Astyanax mexicanus: one gene and its partner. The protein of the gene in region 2 interacts with the protein of the main gene of each other region in a biochemical or structural test. Links are inferred from orthologs where the notes say so. Each region holds a gene or a part of one and is shown on either strand. Other genes may lie near its edges.

What was found.
Region 1: the proteins of runx1 (region 2) and elf2b form a complex in vitro, tested with the Homo sapiens proteins (2 studies listed by BioGRID and IntAct). The link is inferred for Astyanax mexicanus from reciprocal best matches to the Homo sapiens genes RUNX1 and ELF2.

Annotation. Positions count from the first base shown.
Region 1 is NC_064432.1:4,451,056-4,462,059, reverse strand, and holds the start of elf2b (ETS-related transcription factor Elf-2b), read right to left. Parts: upstream 4,339-11,004; 5' UTR 4,037-4,338; intron 2,843-4,036; 5' UTR 2,827-2,842; coding exon 2,752-2,826; intron 2,038-2,751; coding exon 1,866-2,037; intron 1-1,865. Other genes in the region: mgarpb (protein MGARP), read right to left, coding at 6,061-6,098, 7,269-7,790, 10,418-10,675. UniProt on the Homo sapiens protein: Isoform 1 transcriptionally activates the LYN and BLK promoters and acts synergistically with RUNX1 to transactivate the BLK promoter. Isoform 2 may function in repression of RUNX1-mediated transactivation.
Region 2 is NC_064428.1:5,712,363-5,722,619, reverse strand, and holds the start of runx1 (runt-related transcription factor 1), read right to left. Parts: upstream 4,982-10,257; 5' UTR 4,628-4,981; coding exon 4,531-4,627; intron 4,357-4,530; coding exon 4,189-4,356; intron 1-4,188.

The DNA.
Region 1 (11,004 bases), on a different chromosome or scaffold from region 2:
CTCTAGTTTTGCTATTTATAGGTATCTGTTCATAAAATTAACGTTGTTTTATTCTACAAACTACAGACAAAATTTTTCCTAAATTCCAAAAAATAGTCATTTAGAGCATTTATTTGCAGAAAACGAGAAATGGCTAAACTAACAAAATAAGATGCAGAGCTTTCAGACCTCAAATAATGCAAAAAAAAAAAAAGTTCATGCTCATGAAGTTTTAAGAGTTCAGAAATCGATATTTGGTGGAATAACCCTGGTTTTTAATCACAGTTTTCATGAATCTAGGCATGCTCTCTTCCACCAGTCTTACACATTGCTTTTGGATAAATTTATTTAAGTTCAGCTTGGGTTGATGGCTTGTTATCATCCATCTTCCTCGATTATATACTAGAGCTTTTCAACTTGGTAAAAATCAAAGAAACTCACCGTTTTTAAGTTTAGATTTAAGTTTAAATTAAATTAAATGTATTTTTTAAGATGTTTTTTTTATACGTTTTTATAGTGGATATTTAAATGTAAATAACAGAATGAATGTAAAAAATGTAAAATGCAATTATATTTGTATTAGTGGTGTCAATTAAAATACTAGTATATACTTGTGTGTTTAAGGTGAGATAAAACCAACATGGGGTGCTGGAATAAAGAATGCCTGACAAATAGGATAGAAACAAACTTTTTTTTGTACTTTATTGTACGAAACATCTCAGCTTGGTTCTAGGCTTTTCTAAATTAAAACCTTATTTGCAGAGTATAAAAATCTCAGGAAGTGTTTGGTTTTGCACATACGCTCACCATGTAGTAACTTAAAATTGTTGAACAAACCAAAAAATACTTTTCGATGCTGTACACTTGTGGATTCTGAGGCTGGTAACTCTGAGGAATGCATCCTATGCAACAGAGGTAACGCTTGCTTTTCCTGTCTAGAGGCAGTCCTGATGAGTGCGAGTTTCATCATATAGTTTTTGATGGTCTTTGCGACTGCACTTAAGGATACTTTCTAAGTTCTAAAAATATTCATTTGAGATTGACTGACCTTCATTTTCTAAAGTAAAGTTTTTTTTGTAACTTAGTTGAGTAGTTTTTGCCATAATATGGATTCGAACAAGGACTCTAATAGAGCTATTCACTGTATACCAACCATACATCTTCACAATATTTCAGTGAGAGGGTTTCTGCTAATGTCTGCTAGTGTCTGTGCTAATCAGTGTGTAACTCTTTAAGTGGTTCTGTTCAGGCTTACAAAACCTTGGCGCTTTTTTTGATCCAGCCTACTTTTGCACTATTGGTTTACGGGAAACTATGCTACTTCACAGACAATGTTATCAACAGAGGGAGTTGCACAGCAGCCCTTTTTTATTCTCTGGTTCTTATGGACACTTTAATAATCATTTCTTTGCTTTTAATCACCATGGCTACAGATAGACGGCATTCTTGCCTGGCATTATGATAATGAACACATTTGGGCTAAGGTTGGCCATTAATAAGTTTATTAAGTTTCAGTTCACCAATTACACATTTGATTTATTCTTTAAATCTTTGAGCCTAGTGCATCTCAAACTTTTTAACATTAACATTTTAATATAAGATTATAGTAATTATGGCTTTTGGAAAAATGTGTTTTGGGGAGGGCGGGTCCCCTCATATTACTTTTTCACTTTTATACTTTAATTAGTTCTGAAACAACAAGTACTTTTATACTTTCACTTGAGTAAAAATCTTGAGTTGATACTTCAACTTCTACGTAAGTATTTTTAAACCCCAGTATCTATACTTCAGCCTGAGTAAAGCATGTCAAGATTGGGGAGGGAAGGTGTGTAGGTGTGTGTGTGTGTGTGTGTGTGTGTGTGTGTGTGTGTGTGTAGGTGTGTTACCTGTCTCCACTGATTCAGTCTCCACTTCCTGTTCCTCGGCCACGTCCTGTATCAGCTCTGCATCATCAAACACCAACACCTCGTCCACACACTCCTCCACCTGCTCCACCACCACGTCTGCGTAATCACACACACCATCATACACACCGTCCACCGCACACACACCCTCCACCTGAAACACATGAAAAGAGAAGAAGTAGAGAAGTCTGAGAGGGGGAATGTTACAGAATCGGATTTTTGTCTTGTCTTGTCTTGTCTTGCAATGAAAAAACTCCAATTTAACAATATTAAGAGAACACTGAACATTTTTATTTCAAGCAGACGTACCAGACCAATACTTTTTACAATTACAAAAGAGCTCTTTTAATTTGACTAGTCATACAGGATGAAGACAAAGAAAGAATTGGAGAGAGAAGGTAGATTAAAGTAGCTAACTTTATCTTACATTACACACCTTTCACAGTTCACAATTGGTGAGAATGGGTGTGCGATATGGCACTAAGATAATATGACAAATTTTCAGGTTATTTACTTTTGGCAGTGTGGGCAGTGTGCCAAATCCTGCTGGAAAATTAAATCTGCATCTCCATAAAAGTCATCAGCAGAGGGAAGCATGAAGTGCTGTAAGATTTTGTGGGAAAACAAAACTGCACTGACTTTAGACTTGATAATAAAACACAGTGGATCAACACCAGCAGATGACATGTCTCTCCAAACAAACCATCACTGATCATCAGTAAATTTTACATTTCTTTCGAAAATTAAGGGAGAGTCTGGAGGAAGAGTGGAGAGACACACAGTCCAAACTGCTTGAGGTCTAGTGTGAAGTTTCCACCGATCAGTGATGGTTTGGGGAGATGTAGTGATAGAAGTGTATTAACTTTACCTGCTGTATATCATCCACTGCAGTAATGTACTCCACCACCCGTCCCCCACTGTCCACCAACACCACCGATGTCATCACCGACCTCCACCTTCTGAGAGAGAGAAAAAGAAAGAGAGAAAAGAGAAAGAGAGAAAAAAATCAGTAAGTGGCTTCTCAGGTTTACACCAGACAGCAGTTTAGCCCACCCATTCAATCAGCCTACAGCAGTTTAGCCCCACCCATTCAGCCTACAGCAGTTTAGTCCCACCCATTAATTCACCTAAAGCAGTTAAGCCCCACCCATTTATTCAGCCTACAGCATTTTAGCCCCACCCATTTATTCAGTCTACAGCAGTTTAGCCCCACCCATTTATTCAGTCTACAGCAGTTTAGCCCCACCCATTTATTCAGTCTACAGCAGTTTAGCCCCACCCATTCAGCCTACAGCAGTTTAGTCCCACCCATTAATTCACCTAAAGCAGTTTAGCCCCACCCATTCAGCCTACAGCAGTTTAGTCCCACCCATTAATTCACCTAAAGCAGTTAAGCCCCACCCATTTATTCAGCCTACAGCATTTTAGACCCACCCATTTATTCAGTCTACAGCAGTTTAGCCCCACCCATTCAGCCTAGAGCAGTTTAGTCCCACCCATTAATTCACCTAAAGCAGTTAAGCCCCACCCATTTATTTAGTCTACAGCAGATAAGTTTACTCATTCTACCTTCAGCCATTAAGCCCCACTCATTTATTCAGCCTACGGCAGTTTAGCCCCACCCATTTTTTCAACCTACAGCAGTTTAGCTCCACCCATTTATTCAGTCTACAGCAGTTTAGCCCCACCCATTTATTCAGCCTAGAGCAGTTTAGCCCCACCCATTTATTCAGCCTAGAGCAGTTTAGCCCCACCCATTTATTCAGCCTAGAGCAATAAACTATATAGTAAAGTGCATTAATGTATTAAACCAGTTTAAACTGCATTACACTAGCTATGAAAGAACAGTGTTTACACTGTATATAAAATGCAATTAACCAAAAAGTGTTAACAAGCAGTTAACTGCAAGCAGTGTAAACTCTCCTAATGTGAAACCGGATTAAATCTGCTGTTTACAGCTTCTGCTGGTCACTTTATGAGCATTAGCCTGTTAGCTAGCACTGCAGCTAAAGCTAAATAGCCCACAGCTGAGCAGAGAGCAGCCCCAGGGCTAGGCTAAGCTAAAGCAGCCCTCTCCCCGCTGATGGAGAGCCCTGTGAAGAGTGCAGGAGTGTGAACAGGTGAGTGGCGAGTGTGAACAGCGCTCACTTTACCTCAGTGCTGCTCTGCAGAGTGAGTTTCAGCTGCACTCTCTCAGGGTCTCTCTCTCTGGGAGTGTGTTTATCTGGACCTGGAGCTCCGACCCCGCGCGCCGCTCACTCACCCCCCGCTGACCCTCAGCGCGGAGGGCTCAGAGTGAGGGGACACACCGCCGAATTGAAACACGAGCCGCCGAGGCTTAATCTAATTTAACGAGTAATAAGAAAACTCCTCTACGACTAAACGCAAATACACACTCACATATATTATACACACACGCCGGTGACGTTCCACAGAGAGCGACTGCGCCTGCGCCACAACCCCTGCGCTTGAAATGAATGAGGGCGAGCTCCGAATTGCAGACACGTCCCCTAGTTAGGGCACTTAGAAGGGAGCTTAGAAGTTTACTGCGGCCATTTTTGCGGTCTTGTTCCAAACCGAAGTGATTAAAAAAAAATACACTGGCTAAGACCTGAGATGTAAGGTACAGTAACGAAGTAAAAGTACTGAACTACTGTACTTAATTATTAAAATGCTGTATCTGTACTATACTGGAGTATTATTATATATTTTTTCTTTTAATTTTTTTAAGCTCTGAATCTTTTTCTGCACAGTTTATGTTCGTCATTCTCTAGTCCTGTGTCACTGATTACAGGATGCTGCACACAGGATACTGAGTTAATGGATAATTCTGAGGTCAGCCATGACACTGAGGTGTTTAAAAACTCCAGCAGCACTGCTGTATCTGATTCCGCTCACTCGTACCAGCACTACACACACTACTAACACACCACCACCATGCCAGAGCAGCTATTCAGATATCTGGGGTTCAATAAACAGTCAAACACATCATATTAACTAACAGTTTATTATTAATGTACTCTCCGACTAAACACATTGTAACACAGAGTCTACAGAGTCAGAGAGCTTTGAGAACTTATAAATTAAAACTGAAACTCCAACAAGGATCAAATGTTCATGCTAAACTGTAACGCAGCAGATATGTCCACTGAATAGTTTTTTTTAAACAAATTATGTACTCATGTTTTAAATAATTTTGTAACATGGTGAGATGCAATAAGGTAAATGGGAAACAAAACATATGAATATGGTAACAAAGTAACATGGTAACAGTATAACAGTATTTTTTTCATATACTGATTTATTTAAGTAAGACTGACAATGTAACAAGGTAAGATGTAACATGGTAACAGTTACAAGATAGCAGGGTAACATGGAAAGAAAATAACAATCAAAGCAGGGTCAAGTAACTAGGTAACAATATAACAATGTAACAGGATAATGAAGTAACATACTAATATGATAATGGAGCAACGTGATAACAATGAAACAAGGTAACATAGTTCAAGATAACAAGGTGAAAATGTAGTAGGATCATGTAACAAGGTAACAGAATAGGTAATAGAGTACCATACAATTATAGTAACAGGGAAACAACAGGGTAACAATCTAACAAGGTAACAGGGATAATATGAAAACTATGCAACAAGGTAACATAATCACAAAGAATCAGGGTAACAAGGTAAGAGCATAACAACAAAACAGAAGAGTAACTGGGTAACAATATGATAAGATAGCAACGTAACAAGGTAACAGAGTAATGGAGTAGCATACTAATATGTTAATAGGGCAACCTGCTAACAATGAAACAAGGTAACATAGTTACAAGGTATCAGGGTATCAGTGAGCCGGGCCATGTAACAGAATAGGTAATAGAGTAACATAAAAATATAGAGTAGCATTCAATTATGGTAACAGGGAATCAACAGGGTAACAAGGTAACAGGGTAATGGAATAGCATACTAATATGGAAACAATGTAAAAAAGGTAGCATAGTTACAAGGTTTAAGGGTAACAGTTTTAGGCTAACAGTGTTACAAGGTAACCGGGTGGGTAATAAAGTAACTATATACTAATATAGTGTAACATACTAATATGGAAACAGGGTATCATAGTAACAAAGTAACATAGTATCAAGCTTGACTGTTTGACTCCAGGTTCCAGAAGTCAGTTTTCTTCACATCGCCCTTGTGTCCTTTTCATCTGCATCTTCAGCTAGACACACACACACACACACACACACACACACACAGACATTATTTATACACAATGATCTGGGACTCACTACCCACTAATATTTATCAGGCAGCAATTTGGATTTGATTATACACCAAGTGTCTGAAAACTCTTCTACTGAGTAAGTCCTACTGATTTAGGATTCCTAACTACAGTCTTGTCCACACAAATTGTGCACGAGTTTTTTTAAAACGTTTTTTTTTTTTTTTTTTTTTTTTATTATTGTATCTCCATTTTGTATTTCTGTCCACATGAAAATGGCTTTTTCAAAATTATGTTTTGGAAAATGAAGTGTAATGGGATGGAGTGATACAGACTAGTAGCTCTCCATCACAGAGGGTTGTTGAACCCAAATGCAGAACAGTTGGTCTTAAAGCATTACCTGCTTTAAGACCAACTGTTCTGCAATTGGGTACTACTAGTCCCAAGAAAAAAGGAAAGATTATTAACACAGCTCCTCAAACGGGATAGAACCTGTGTCGTCAGGGTGTGTCGCGGCCTATGGCCTACCCCTGGTCTAGAGAATCCCTTTTGTCTTGTGTCAACCTGTGGATATTCTGGAAAAGTTGCATGCATGCTTTACTACATCAGTGAAGAAGGAAGGGGACGGGTTTACTTTTATTAAAATGCTGCACGTGTCGGCTAAGACATTTTTAAAAACCTCCTCTATTGAGGTCCGTTGATCTGTAGAGCAGTGAAACTGTGTTCTCTGGAATGATGGTGCTCAACCCAATACTTTTGGGAAGCATTGAAGAGACGGAACTAGTCATCCACCTTCATTACCTGGCCTTACTGATGCTAAGTCTATGAAGTCTATCCACATACTTTTGTCCATAGAGTGAATTTTACTAACCCGTTTTATCCTTTCAGTTACAGTTGCCTTTTATGAACCAATCAGATCACTCCTCTCCACTTTTCCACCACCAATGTAAATTTTAAGATTCCCATTTTAAGATTCCAGAGACATATGGTGAGCCCATGTGGTGTTCACCTCTGGAACAGCTGGTTAAATAGCTTGATTGTTACAAATGCATGTTGCACGAATTTAGTGCTGCTGCGACATAGTTAAATAGATAAATCTTAACATCTGTTTGTGTTAATCCCTCTGAAATATCAATATCAAATATTAAAATATAATAAAAAACACACCTCCAGTCTCCTCCACAGACTCCAAGGCTGCTGTGTAATCCTCCAGGCAATCATCCTGCGCTGTGTTCTCCTCCCGACCAGCAGGGTACATTATGGACTGTTCAGGTTCCACGTTTCCCCCATATAAGGTGTCCTCCAGACCAGCATTATGGAATGGGGAGGTTTCAGGACCCTCAGCACCCTCTAAACCAATGGGAGAGTATTCGTTTTCCACATGTCCAACATGTGAAGTGTCCTCCAGACCAGCAGGGGGCATTGTAGAGGCTTCAAGTTCAGCATGTTCAGAGTGTGAGTCAGAACACTGATAGCAGTGCGGTATCTCCTTGTTGGAGGTCGCAAAATCTTCGTAAACTTGCTCCAGCTTGACTTCCTCGGCCAAAACCACCCTCCGCTCCTCTGCTCGCCCAATGGGGGGCGCTAGTGCTGCTGAGCTGCTCTCGTCCCCCACTGAAGCAGCAGCCATCTCTGCCACAGAACTGCTAAGAACCTTCACAGCGTCCAGAACCTCCAACACCGGAGCCACTGCAAGAATATCATGCCAGGAGTGAAGTTAAAGTGATGAACATGTCTTGTCTCTGTTTTTAAGAGATAAATACCTTTTCCACCAGGGGGCGACACATGAACACATTTTTCACGAGAAGCCAACCTTGCTTGCAACATGGCGGTGAAGTAGTGACTATTGTTGATTGGCTGTTATTTTGATGCTAAGTGTTGATTGGCCGTTTTTTCTGGTCGCTGTTGTAGTGTTAATTTGTTGGCATTCTGACTACTTAGTGCTTAGTGTCTAATTGCTGAAGCTTTTGACTACTAAGTGTTAATTGGCCAGTATTTAGACAGTTAAGTGTTGATTTGCTAAAGCTTTTACTACTGAGTTCTGATTGAGTAGAGTTTTGGCTACTAAGTAATGAATGGCTGGTGTTTTAGCTACTAAATGCTGAATGTAAGCATTCTCTCTACTAAGAGCTGATTGGATGGCATTCTAAGTACTAAGCATTGATTGACTTTTTCTGTTTGCTGTGTGTATATTGGCTAGTGTTCTGACTACTGAGTGCTAAATGGCTGACATTTTGTCTACTGAGTGATGACTGGCTGACATTCTGTCTGCTGATTTGCTATGGATGGCATTCTAAGTACTAATTATTGATTGGTTGTTTTTCTGGCATTCTGGCTACAGACTGTTGATTGGCTGACACTCTGGCTACTGAGGGCTGATTGACTAGTGTTCTAGGTACTGAGTGCTGAGTTCTAGTCTTCTAAGAGCTGTTTTGCTGATGTTGATTGGATGTTACTGGATGTTGATTGGCTGAAATGTTGACTACTAAGTGATGATTGTCTGGCTACAGAGTGATGCTCAACTAGTGTTCTAGCTACTTCTTTTGTTCCATCTACTGATTATTAGATAGACTAGACAATTGGCTGTTGTCATAAATTCCAGAATTCCAGTGATACTGACTACTAAGTGTTGATTGGCTACTGTTCTAACTGCTGAGTTTTGATTGGCTGACATTTTGTCTACTGAACGATGACTGGCTGACATTTTGTATACTGAGTGCTGATTGGCTGACATTTTGTCTACTAGGTCCTACATATTGTCCTACATATAGGGTCGGTTTCCCAGACAGGGATTGAGCTTGGAATATACATCATTTTAAATGGAGCTTTCTCAAAGAAAGGAAAATTTAGTCTAGGATTAGACTTAATCACTGTCTGGAAAACCGACGTACAAACCCTAAAACCAGGCCCAATAACCCAGCTTAACTGATCTGTGGAGGCGGCACTGCTGTTGTACTACCTTCTGCCACTAGATGTGAGCAAACAGCAAGTAATATTGTACACATAGGCTTTAGTAGTGTAGTAGTGTAGTCACTCTGTGTGTGTGTACAGAAAAACTCTGCAATGGTGATATAGATAAATGAACTTTATTTAAACAAGAATAAGCTTTTAACTTAAGAAGAGTGTCAGATCTACTTGAACCAGAGACTGTAAAAATGAACTTACAAAAGACAAACTAAACTTATAACGCTAAGAAAAAAATGGCAGTGACCCCCAACTGGTTAAAAAAGGCCATAATTGGCTAATTCTTTTTGGAATGCTTCAGAAAAGATGTAAACAGAATCAGTCACTGTGGTTTGCTGTGAAACACCCCTTTCTAGATAAACGTACCCAGTCTGAATTCTTCCAAGAAGAAAGCTCCCTCCAGGAAAGTTATTAAACCAAAAGCCTAAAGCTTGAGACTTTGGGTATAAAACATGTTTTTACGATTGTGTATCATAAACCTGGTGGAGGGATACATATCCAATATGCAGGGTGATGTATGGCAAAAATAGTCCCTAAAGAAAACTGGATTTTGTCAGATTTTACACTGTTTTACTACGTATAAACCTCAGAAGACACATGTAAGTTGACTGCTGGGTTTTTGTATAGTAAATAAAATGGTTTTATTTTTGGTCTAGTGATGGCAAACAATGCCTGGACCCATTTGTAACCACTGTAAAGACAATTTCACACCAAACCCCAAATCTGAATGAGTTTATCTTACATTAAGTTGTGTGTAAGGCACTGGGGTAGAACTACTCTATTTCACACACTAGAGGAGAGAGAGAGAGAGAGAGAGAGAGAGAGAGAGAGCAGCAGTTTAGCCCCTCCCATTCAGCCTACAGCAGTTTAGCCCCACCCATTAAGCATAGAGAAATTAAGCCCCTTCATTCAGCCTAGAGAAGGAAAGCCCCATCCACTCATGCTTCATGAGTTAATCCCACATATTCAGTCTACAGCAGTTTAGCCCCACCCACTTAGCCTAAAGCACTTTAACCCGCCCTCATTCAGCCTACAGCAGATTAGCTCCACCTATTCTTTTTTCACCCAGCCTTTTTACCTTCAGAGGCAGGACCAGTACAACCAAGGACACCAAAATACCACCATACTGGTAGAGAAAGAGTAGAACTGTGCCCTCTGCTGTCTGCCTTTGAAAACGTTTCTCTTTTAGCCTACATTTTGAACCAAAACAGCAGGGGGCGATGTGATAACTCTCCTCCTTCTCCTCCTCCTCTACAGACATAACACCGCTACTGTACACAGGTCTCTAAATGATCATTGCAGGGGTCAGGTGGTCTAGGGAGCTGGGGCTTCTTCTACAGCAGGCGGCTCACCCGTTGCCTCGGCTGCTTCCATGGCCACGCTAACCAGATCTTCAGCAGCCTCTTTGACTTCAGGGGGCGGTTCTGTTGCTATTGCAACCACTGTCTGAGCAGCTGGCTCTTCTGTTGCGGAAACATCCGCTGGGAGGTTAGGCCCCGGGTCGGAAGCCTCTGACGCTGCTTCAGTTGCAGATTCCACGCTTTCCACAGCCTCAGACACTGCGTTTACTGTCATCACCTCAGCAATGGAAGCTGGCTCATCTGCTGGAGCTGAAAGGAGTTAAAAGGAAATGTTTAATTTATAAATTGCTGGTCATAGAGAGGAATAGAAGAACTAGAGTGAAGGACATCTTAGCCTCTTAACTTCTTCCTGACCTTACTGGCACTTGAGGCACAATGACTACCACATGTAACTCATGCACCAACCCTCTAAACTAATTCTGCTAGACTGCAAGCACAATTTCTGCTTCCCATTTAAATGCAGTTCTAAAACACACTTATTCAAAACACTAAACACAATCTTCTGCATTTGGCACAATTTTCATGAAGAAACTGTTGTTCACACAAAATCTAAGTTATTTGACTCGTCACATGGGCAA
Region 2 (10,257 bases):
CATTGCTAAAATTAGTATGTTAGCTAGCTCGCTGCTTAAGTTATTATGTTAGCTAGCTCATTGCTAAAATTAGTATGTTAGCTAGCTCGCTGCTTAAGTTATTATGTTAGCTAGCTCATTGCTAAAGTTAGTAGGTTAGCTAGCTCACTGCTTAAGTTATTATGTTAGCTAGCTCATCGCTAAAGTTAGTATGTTAGCTAGCTCGCTGCTTAAGTTATTATGTTAGCTAGCTCATCGCTAAAGTTAGTAGGTTAGCTAGCTCGCTGCTTAAGTTATTATGTTAGCTAGCTCACTGCTTAAGTTATTATGTTAGCTAGCTCATCGCTAAAATTAGTATGTTAGCTAGCTCACTGCTTAAGTTATTATGTTAGCTAGCTCATTGCTAAAGTTAGTAGGTTAGCTAGCTCACTGCTTAAGTTATTATGTTAGCTAGCTCATCGCTAAAGTTAGTATGTTAGCTAGCTCGCTGCTTAAGTTATTATGTTAGCTAGCTCATCGCTAAAGTTAGTATGTTAGCTAGCTCACTGCTTAAGTTATTATGTTAGCTAGCTCATTGCTATAATTAGTATGTTAGCTAGCTTTCCCCTAAAGTTAGTATGTTAGCTAGCTAACTACTTAAGTTAGTATGTTAGCTAGCTTGCTGCTAATTTTGGTTAGCTTGCTGCTAAAGTTAGTATGTTAGCAAAATTTCCACTAACCTTAGTTCTATCCCTGGTAATATTAGCTAGTCCGCTTTATCTAGCTAAAGTTAGTATGTTAGCCAGCTCTCTGCTAAAGTTAGTATGTTAGCTAGCTCACCGCTAAAGTTAGTATGTACAGTAAATATGTTAGCTAACTCGCCGCTAACGTTAGCTAGCTTTCCGCTAACCTTAGGTCTATGCCTGGTAATGTTAGCTAGCTCGTTTAAGCTAGCTAAAGTTTGTATATTAGCTTGCTCTCTTGCTCTAAAGTTGGTATGTTAGCTAGCTCGCTGATAAAGTTAGTATGTTAGTTAGCTAGCCGTTATTGTTAACTAGCTCTCTGCTAACCTTAGTTCTATGCCTGGTAATGTTAGCTAGCTCGTTTAAGCTAGCTAAAGTTAGTATGTTCGCTAGCTCTCTGCTAAAGTTAGTATGTTAGCTAGCTCTCTGCAAATCTTAGCTCTCTCCTTGGATTAGATGTTTACGACGGGCCACTGTGTTTTCCCAAAAGCATTATATGCACCATCTGAAAATGTAATACCTACAGCAAATTTATAGTAAATTTAAGGTAATTCATAGACCTTAATTACCCATATTTTTGTTTATAACATAATTTGAACAGACAAACTTGTCCTTTACACTGTGCCAAATGTATTAATGAACAGACCAATAGAAACACTTCAAAATGTTCTAAAAATGAACTTTTTTATATTGACGTCCATTGAAAGTTTAGAAGGTTTTTTTTATCTCTCCTGTAAAGTTGCTTGTTTGTTTTGAATACATTTGTTTTTGATTGGACAGCAATGATATACAATACTCTTGTGCTGGCTGCTGATGGATTTGGGCCTCTGTTTTTAACCCAGCCGTGCAGTGAGCATTCACACCAACACTAGATTATAGGATCATCAAAGGAAAAGGAAGACATATAGCAAAGCAGACATGACAAAACCATGCTCATCATCGATGATACATAATTTAACAGACATACCATCATCATGTAGTACTTTGATGTATTTTATGTTTTTGAAAATGCAAGCTTTTAAGCTGCTAGACAAACTTTTAAGAAGGAGTGTAAGTATTGTCTCCAATAAACAAACTGCACTATTGAAAATCTCAAGCTTTTGTGCATCATCATGTAAAAATATCAATATCAATATGTGTGTCATCAAAAACTACCTAAAGAAACTTAAATAATAAGCTTAAATAATAATAAAAAAGGCAAATTATGGAAATACTACAATAGTCAAAGTGCCCAATTGAGTTCTAGGTAATAACTGGACATACATTTTGACTTCATGAAAATACAAAACATTTACAGTTGACCTGAAACCTACAATACTGTACAAAAATGTACAATAAATCATCATGACCTTCATTGTTCACCTTCTTGCTGACATTAATTATGTTTAATTGCATGTTTGCTTGCATACAAATTAAAATCTTAGGTATTTTAGCAGGTTGTGCAATGACCAGTGCATCAAAAACAGCACATCCATACACACAGAACAGTCTTTATTAGGGAAAGAAATAAATAACTAAACATTTATTGCTTTTAAAAATGTGTTATTGCAATATTATTATTCTAGTATATTGCCAATATGTTAGTGGCTTTAAATGACAAGTACTATGATGTATTGCAATTATTTCTGGGGCGATATATTGTCCAACAAAATGAGTAATTACGCACTCATTCACTTTACCAGCCTTAAGCTATATACCATATTTGCACTACTGTTATACGGGTTCTATTTATACTGTCATTCCATCTCAATCTCCATCAATATTAAACTATTGTCCTCCGTCTTACGTATGTCTATTGTGTTCTTGTTGTATTGTACATATAGTGTCTCATATTCTTTTATATTATATGTATTATTTCTTTTTATTTATATTTATATATCTTATTTCACCCCCCACCACTACTGCACCTTGTTTCTGTCTCATGTATGTCTATTTGTGTCCCTGCTGTATTGTACACATACATGGGTGTCTCCCATTCCTTCTTTTATTATATATATATTCTGTACCTGCTGTAAAAATTGTGGAGGAGGGTAATGTAATTTCAATTCTCTGTATGTCCTGTACATATGCAGTATTGACAATAAAACTACTTGAATTGACTTGACTTGACTTATATGTGCAGTATTAACATTAGGACAGTGTATGTAAAAAAACTGCTATAGTATAAAAAGATACATGCATTTATAATATATGTGTAAAAAATAATTTAACTTTTTATCAAATCTCAATTGCATGATCTAATGACCAAGTCAGAGTTTAGCACAAACTAAACAACTGTCTAAAACCAATCTAACAATATGAACTACTAATTATTGTACAAAAATCTATACTGTGTTTTTAAAATTGATACAGTAGTGCAAAAGAAAATATTGCAATACCATGGAATATTGATCATTCTTATGCACCTAATTAGCGTAGTAAAAATAATATGTTAGCCTTATATTTATACTAATACCAGTATATAATAACATCAGTGAATTACAGGAAACAAATGTGATTATCTGTATGGTATGTCAGCTACTGTAAATGCAGAAGATATAGAAAGGAAAAAAAATGTTGCGGTCAATTTAAGATCATCGCTTGCTAAATATGCACCATTACTCCTCAGTGCAATTCTCCTTCAGGTTCTAATTTCTGGGTGTGTTTATGAGTTCATCTGTCCCCCCACCTCAATCTCAATATCATAAAATCTATAAAACACCAGCTCCCTGTCTCTCCATGGGAGTGAAGAGCAGAAACTGAGTCTGTTGTCCATCCCAGGTGTCTGACACACAGGCAAAGAATGCTGTGCTGCAGTGATGAGCCTTAACCTCCCTCTCACACCCAGCAACTAAACTAAACTAAAGTCAAAAGTCTTAAAACAGGCAAACTTCTATTATTTAGTGGTCAAAACTGTGGAGGGTCCACTTAAAGGTGTTTTGTGAAATTGTCAAGAAAGATGTTCAACGAACATTTTCTTCTAAAAAAATGTATATATATTTTATTTTTGTGAAAGTTACTCAAAGCAACACACTTTAATGAACATTATTAACATTGTCCATAACATCCTTATATAAAAATATATATATATATTTACATATACAAACAGGAAAACTTTATCTAACGCAAATATGTTATTCTTTTTTTACACAGGAGCATTGCAGAGAACAAAGGGCATTGCAGTACATTCGTAAAAGCCCGCTGTGTTATTGCTTGGTGGAGTGAGGTTAACCAGTGGAACACTCAGTAACCCACAGACCTGTGGTTTTCAGATTCAGCCACGAGATTTCAGTACACCACTGACACAGCAAACCAACCAGTGTGACGTTTTGGATGTTTTGCCTCTACTTTCCATCATGCTTATTAGTTTGTTAGATTGCAGTCAGGCTAAGAAGATAAGATAAGAACTTAAGCCGTCAACTTCTTGTTTCACAAATGTGTGTCTCTGAAATTCTGAGCAATGTATCAACATATAATCTAAATATAAATTAAACGTAACATGACTTACCTCTGGTGAAGCAAGACTGATAGGAGGAGAAGGTCTCGAAGATGCTGTTCGAGGCCATGGCGAGTGGCTGCTTCTCAAAAACGCTGTCCTCCTCTTCACTGGAGTCCAGCGCCTCCAACTTGACTTGGCTCCTAATTTTGAAGTTTGAGTCTGTGCTGCTGCTTTGCCCTGGAAAGACCAATGGTACAGGCATGGTGAGTTTGTGTAAGAAGGTGTGCATGGTCTAAGAAACGATCAGTAAAAAAAAAGTCTATAGACTTTAGAACCAATGGACAACCTCCACTACACAGTGCTCCCTAAATAAACTGAAAGTCTACAGAACAAAATCCCTGGGTTACACACCAACGCCCACACCCTCAACACCCTCAAGTCCATGGTCATCCAGTGATGGTCCGGTCGTGGCATCAGGGCAGTTGTTGTGTCCTTGCGTGTTGTGCATGGTTGAGAGACACTGCAGATAGTGATCGGCGGTCAGACTGCGGTCGACTGATGCTTACCCTTGTGCTAAAGAGAAGGAGTAGAAATGTCGCGCTGTGGTTTCTGTCTCTCTCTCTCTCTCTCTCTTCTCTCGCTCTCGTTTTTTTTTTTTTTTTTTTAGTAATCCGGGTGATTCACACTGACATCTGACATCAACACGTAGACTCAGCACTCTCTTCTCTCAGTTTCTTCTCTCTTTCGTTTTTAATCGTACGGTCCGGTCTGGTCCCCCCGCTCTATCTTTATCTCACTTTTCTCCAGGGCTCAGGGAGCCGTGACTGGTGGCAGTTTTGGTTTGTGGTTGTGGTGGCCCACAGAATAGCGGCTCCCAAGCCAAGTGACAAGTTTAACTCTTCCCTTCTATAAAAAAAAGCAACCTAACCCTAACAGCTCAAGCTCCATTGGGCCGCCACGGTCACATGGTCCGCTGTGGTGCAAATTTCATTCTGACTTTGTGTTTAGAGGTTTCCCTTTGTAATACGGGCACAGCACAGGCTCTATCAGCAGCCCTCACTCCTCTACGTTCTCTTGGAGGAAACTGATGTGTTTTTTCGTTTTTTTGCTTTTTTCATGCAATAGTAATAGTGTAAAACAGGGCACAGCAGGTGCACACAGCAGAAAAAAGCAGTACAGTTCAGACGAGTTCAGAAGAGAAGCTAAAATAACTGCACATGACTGTTTGTGTAAGAAGAGAATCTACAGCGCAAACAGAGTCTAAACATGCAAATCTCTCTCCAGGAGAGCACACAATTAGCCCTGTGTCTGTAGCAGCATCTGACCACCTCAGCTTGTCAGAATTTACATGTCATCTTTTCATATCTCTTTATCTACATATTTTGCACGAGAAAAGAAAGAGTGTGTTTACTTACAGTAGCGCGGTTCAAAGAGGATTGCATGTGTGTTCAGTCAAAAGGCAAAAATATATATTTATATATGGCTGAAATAACAAAAAAAGATGCAGAGCTTTTAGATCTCAAATAATGCAAAGAAAATAAGTTTATATTCATAAAGTTTTAAGAGTTCAGAAATCAATATTTGGTGGAATAACCCTGATTTTAATCAGTTTTCTTCATGCATCTTGGCATCATGTTCTCCTCCACCAGTCTTACACACTGCTTTTGGATAACTTTATGCTGCTTTACTCCTGGTGCAAAAATTCAAGCAGTTCAGTTTGGTTTGATGGCTTGTAATCATCCATTTTTATTTAGTGAAATCAAATATATACATACATACATACCATATAGCCAAAATGTCACACAATATTTTTTAATCTAATTAATGCATCATGTAATAAAATATTATAAAAAAGATTTAAAAAAAATTATATTACCATTTTTTGTCGCAATATGCATCAATATTAATCCAGTTTATATGTATTGTAATAAAAAAAGAGTGGATTTCTATTCATTCTGAAGATTTTTATTGGTCTGTTTCTAAACTGACATGGTTTGGTATAGTAGTTACAATATGCAAATTTTAAGAAATACACCAAATACGCCAACATTATACTTCTTAATTTTGGCAATACATAAATACAGTCATTTTGATGTCGCTATTAAACTGCCAAACCTGCTCACAACTAATTTCTGTACTGTTAAAAGTAATTGACAATTTATGTAAGTAATGCAATTTCTCATTAATATTAGATATGTATATAAAACACCCAATTGTCTATCATTAATACTATATACTGATATTTAAATTATTTTTTAGTCATATACGCATATAGGTTGCCCTCACTTGCTGCATATCTGGCACACAAACTGAATCCTATAAGATGTTTATTCTATATAATTTCAGTCCACATTATTTAAAGCCAGTTCCACAGGTGGTGTGTAATGCATGCCAGAGTATTGCCCACATCAGGGCACTGTCCATCATCAGGCAAAACCAGCCATTGTTTAGGTCTAATCGTGTGCAAAGAACACCACGTCCACGAGGGCCTCCTGCAAAAAGCCTCCAAGCCCATTATATCATCCTCCGACACCTGCGTCCACTCCTGTCCCCTACCCGCCCCCTGTAACGAACACTCGCAACACCTCCACCTGCACCACACCTCCAGCACATGCCGAACACACCCACACCTGTGCTCACTTTTACACACAGTAATTTAGGCGTTGGGGTCAAGTATGGTGGGGCGGAGTGTGGCGGTTCGCATCGGCGTGCATGGCCAGCTGCTACCCCACCCACACTGGACTCAGATTTCAGACTCAGACGCAGACACACTCCGGGGGCAAAATACTGACGTTTGTAGAGGGAAAGTGGATCTGTGTGTTTTGCCCTTAATTGTACATTTGATTTATATGATAATGGCACTTTTATGTTTTACTCTAAACTAAATAGGTGAACAAATGGTGCAAATTGTCAGTAAAAAATATGTAATGAATAAAAATTAGCACTGAAAATATATATATGTTACACCTGTAATGTCATTAGCATCGTAGTATATATCATATCTGTTTCATTTAAGAGTTTGTCATTTCACCAGCCAATGTAATTTTCCCTGTGAAATTAAGGGGAATTATTATACAGTATTATACAGTATATCCAAATATTGAATTTACAATGTAAAAATATCATAAATATAACATATATATTATTTTTACATTGTAAATTCAACATATTAAAGCTATACAGAAACATGGAATTATTCTGTGAACAAAAAGTGTTAAACAACCCAGAATATGTTTTATACTTTAAATTTACATTTATCTTTGAGTTCAGATCTGCACACTCTTGGTGAGATTTTAATCTCAGTGTCTTCATGAGGGAGAGTCACCTGGAATAGTTTTCTCAACGTCTTGAAGGTAGGAGTTTCTGGAGGTGCTGACCAATAGCTGCTGCTTTTCCTTCACTTTGCTGTGAAGCTCCAGCTCATCCCAATTAAATCACCTCAAATCAATTTTTTACTGTTTACTACATAATTCCATATGTGTCCCTTAACTATTTACATGTTTTTCAATATTAATCTACAATGTAGAAAATACATTAAATAAAGAAATAAAGATAAAAACTTAATGACAAAGTGTGTCCAAACTTTTGCCTGATACTGTATATACCGTATCTTCCTTTTGATTCATTTAAACTGTAATGCACTTTAATGGTCTTTACTGTCCACCCAGGAATCTTGGGATATCTGCATCTTTAAGAAAGCAATCTTTGATGTTGGTGACATCACAACCTTCACACTCTTTTATTTCTAAAGGACTGAAGACACTTACTGAATATCGTCGCTGTCCAATGAAAAACACTTATCTCCAAAACAGCAACTTTACAGGAGAGAAAAAAACCTTGTGAACTTTTAATGGAAGTCAATGTAGAATTAGTTTATTTCAGGTCATTTTGAAAAGTTTCTTTTGATCTGTTCATCAATAAATTTGGCACAGTGTGAGAGAGTTTGTCTGTTCAAATTATGTAGTAATCTAAAAATCGACAGAAAAGGAGATAAGTGTTTTTTATAGGACAGCGACGATATTCAGCAATTAAAAATATTAATGACACTTAAAATTTTGTCTCAATTTTTAGCGAAGGTAAAGATTGTCCACCCTGATATGGTCTAATATCATGGTAATTAAAATAATGAAAAATTAAAACATGGAATTAAAGGTCAACCACATTTTCATCACATGCATGCAAGTGGAAATATAAAACTGTTTAGATTTCTGTATTGTAAAATTCTGTTCTGGCAAAGGAATTTTACAATAACGCTACATGAATAAAAGTGCTTTAAACAGTAATAAACATTTTAATGAATGTTTAAGCAATATCGCAACTAATTATTCAAGTTACCATATATTTTAGACTATAAGGCACAATTTTAATAAGTGTCTATTTTCTGGTTTATTTTCATACATAAGGCGCACCAGATTATAGGCTGCATTAAGTGACACTAGTAAGGATGCCTACATCGAAGTGAGTACAGGTTTCGCCATGTTTCTCTTTTAATGGAGAAGCTAGAGAAAAAAAAAAGGCTAAGTAAACAAAACTGTATTTTAAAAACATATGAGTGCTGGATGTTAATCTAGACAGATTTCTCTGCTGAAAACTGTTTATTTGGGTGAGTAAAGGGCTTCAGTATATTGACAGTAATCTTACATTTCCAGTATTTTGTGCAAGAGTGTATTACTGAATTTTCAGTGAAGGTTCTCCAGCACTAAGGCTGGGTGCAGCAGCATTAGCATTAGCTGCTAACCACAGTGCTAGTGGGACGTAAATGCTGTAAATGTGTTTCGGTAACCCAGAGTATTATCAGCTTTATACAGAGCTTGTTTTAACATGGTAAACACAAAGACTACAGTCCGAGCTAGTGTTAGTGCAATGTACATAAATTAAGGCACACTGTCCATTTTTAGGAAAATTAAAGGATTTTAAGTGTGCCTTATAGTCCGAAAAATATGATAACTGTGGAACGGTTGAAACTCATCATTATTAAACATTAAATTACAGATTTATTTCCTTAAAATTGGATCATTTCACTTAGATCTTCACTTCACTAAGATTAAATTTTTTTTGCTGTGTAATAAATTGTAATGCTTTAGAATGTTGTAAATACTGTTGAAATTGTATGAATTGAGATATTATTGAACATTTTGCAATTTTTAATAATTTCTTAATCTCTACTCTCACTTCATAATTAGTTTAGTCATTAAAAATATACATATTAATTAATGTTAAGTTTTAAAAGAATAGGTTTGAGGGCACAGTATTCTGATAATAACTATGCAATATTTCTGACATGGCTTAGAGGCAGCATATGTCACTGTATGTGAGATGAGATAAAGCAGAAGTTTGAGATCATCGTGAAGATATATAGAGTAGCTTCTAAAGAAACAATGCTGACATCATGCAGCTGCAGCTTCCTTTAACCTCCAGTTTCCGGGGAGATTCGGGTTTTAGGGTCAGACAGGGTCAGGGGGTCATCCAGCCCGCAGTGCATCTGTCTATAGGGCTAGTGCTACTGTGTGTGTCATATTACAACACAGTAAAAACAAGTTTTACTTTAATAAAAGCTGTTTATTCACCAGCAGTCTGGATTGTTTAAATCATTGTGCTGCTTAGTCTGAAAGTAGAAGAACCGTCTCAGTCCCACCTATAAAAGCTTCTGCTAGAATGGAACAGCGCAGGGTCCATCTGCTGGGCTGCTGTTTGATATCTGGGACGCACAGCTGTATAAAAGAATACACGTCCCGCTGGGTTCCCACGACACAGCGAGGTGCTGTGCTTCTGGAGTTCCATTTTCCCGTCCTTTAGAGAGCATTGCTAGCGTAGCTTTCTTCATGAACACTGAAAGAAGACTAAATATAGATGGAATTCCTTCCTTAACGAAAAAACTAAACTTTTACATACCAGTAATAGACTTTTTATCAAATAAATACATGTTACACACAGAAAGAATTACTAGACAGAACTGAAACTTGGTGAGTAGTTGTGTCAGACTGTGATGGAGTGAGGTCCAGCACAAACATATGCTCAGGTGCACTATTCCAACAGGACAATGCTTGTCCACATACTGCTGCTACCCCAAGAGCTTATATTAAAGAGCCACTAAATTCTAAACCATATTTTTTCCACTTAAAGATGAAATGTGTTTCT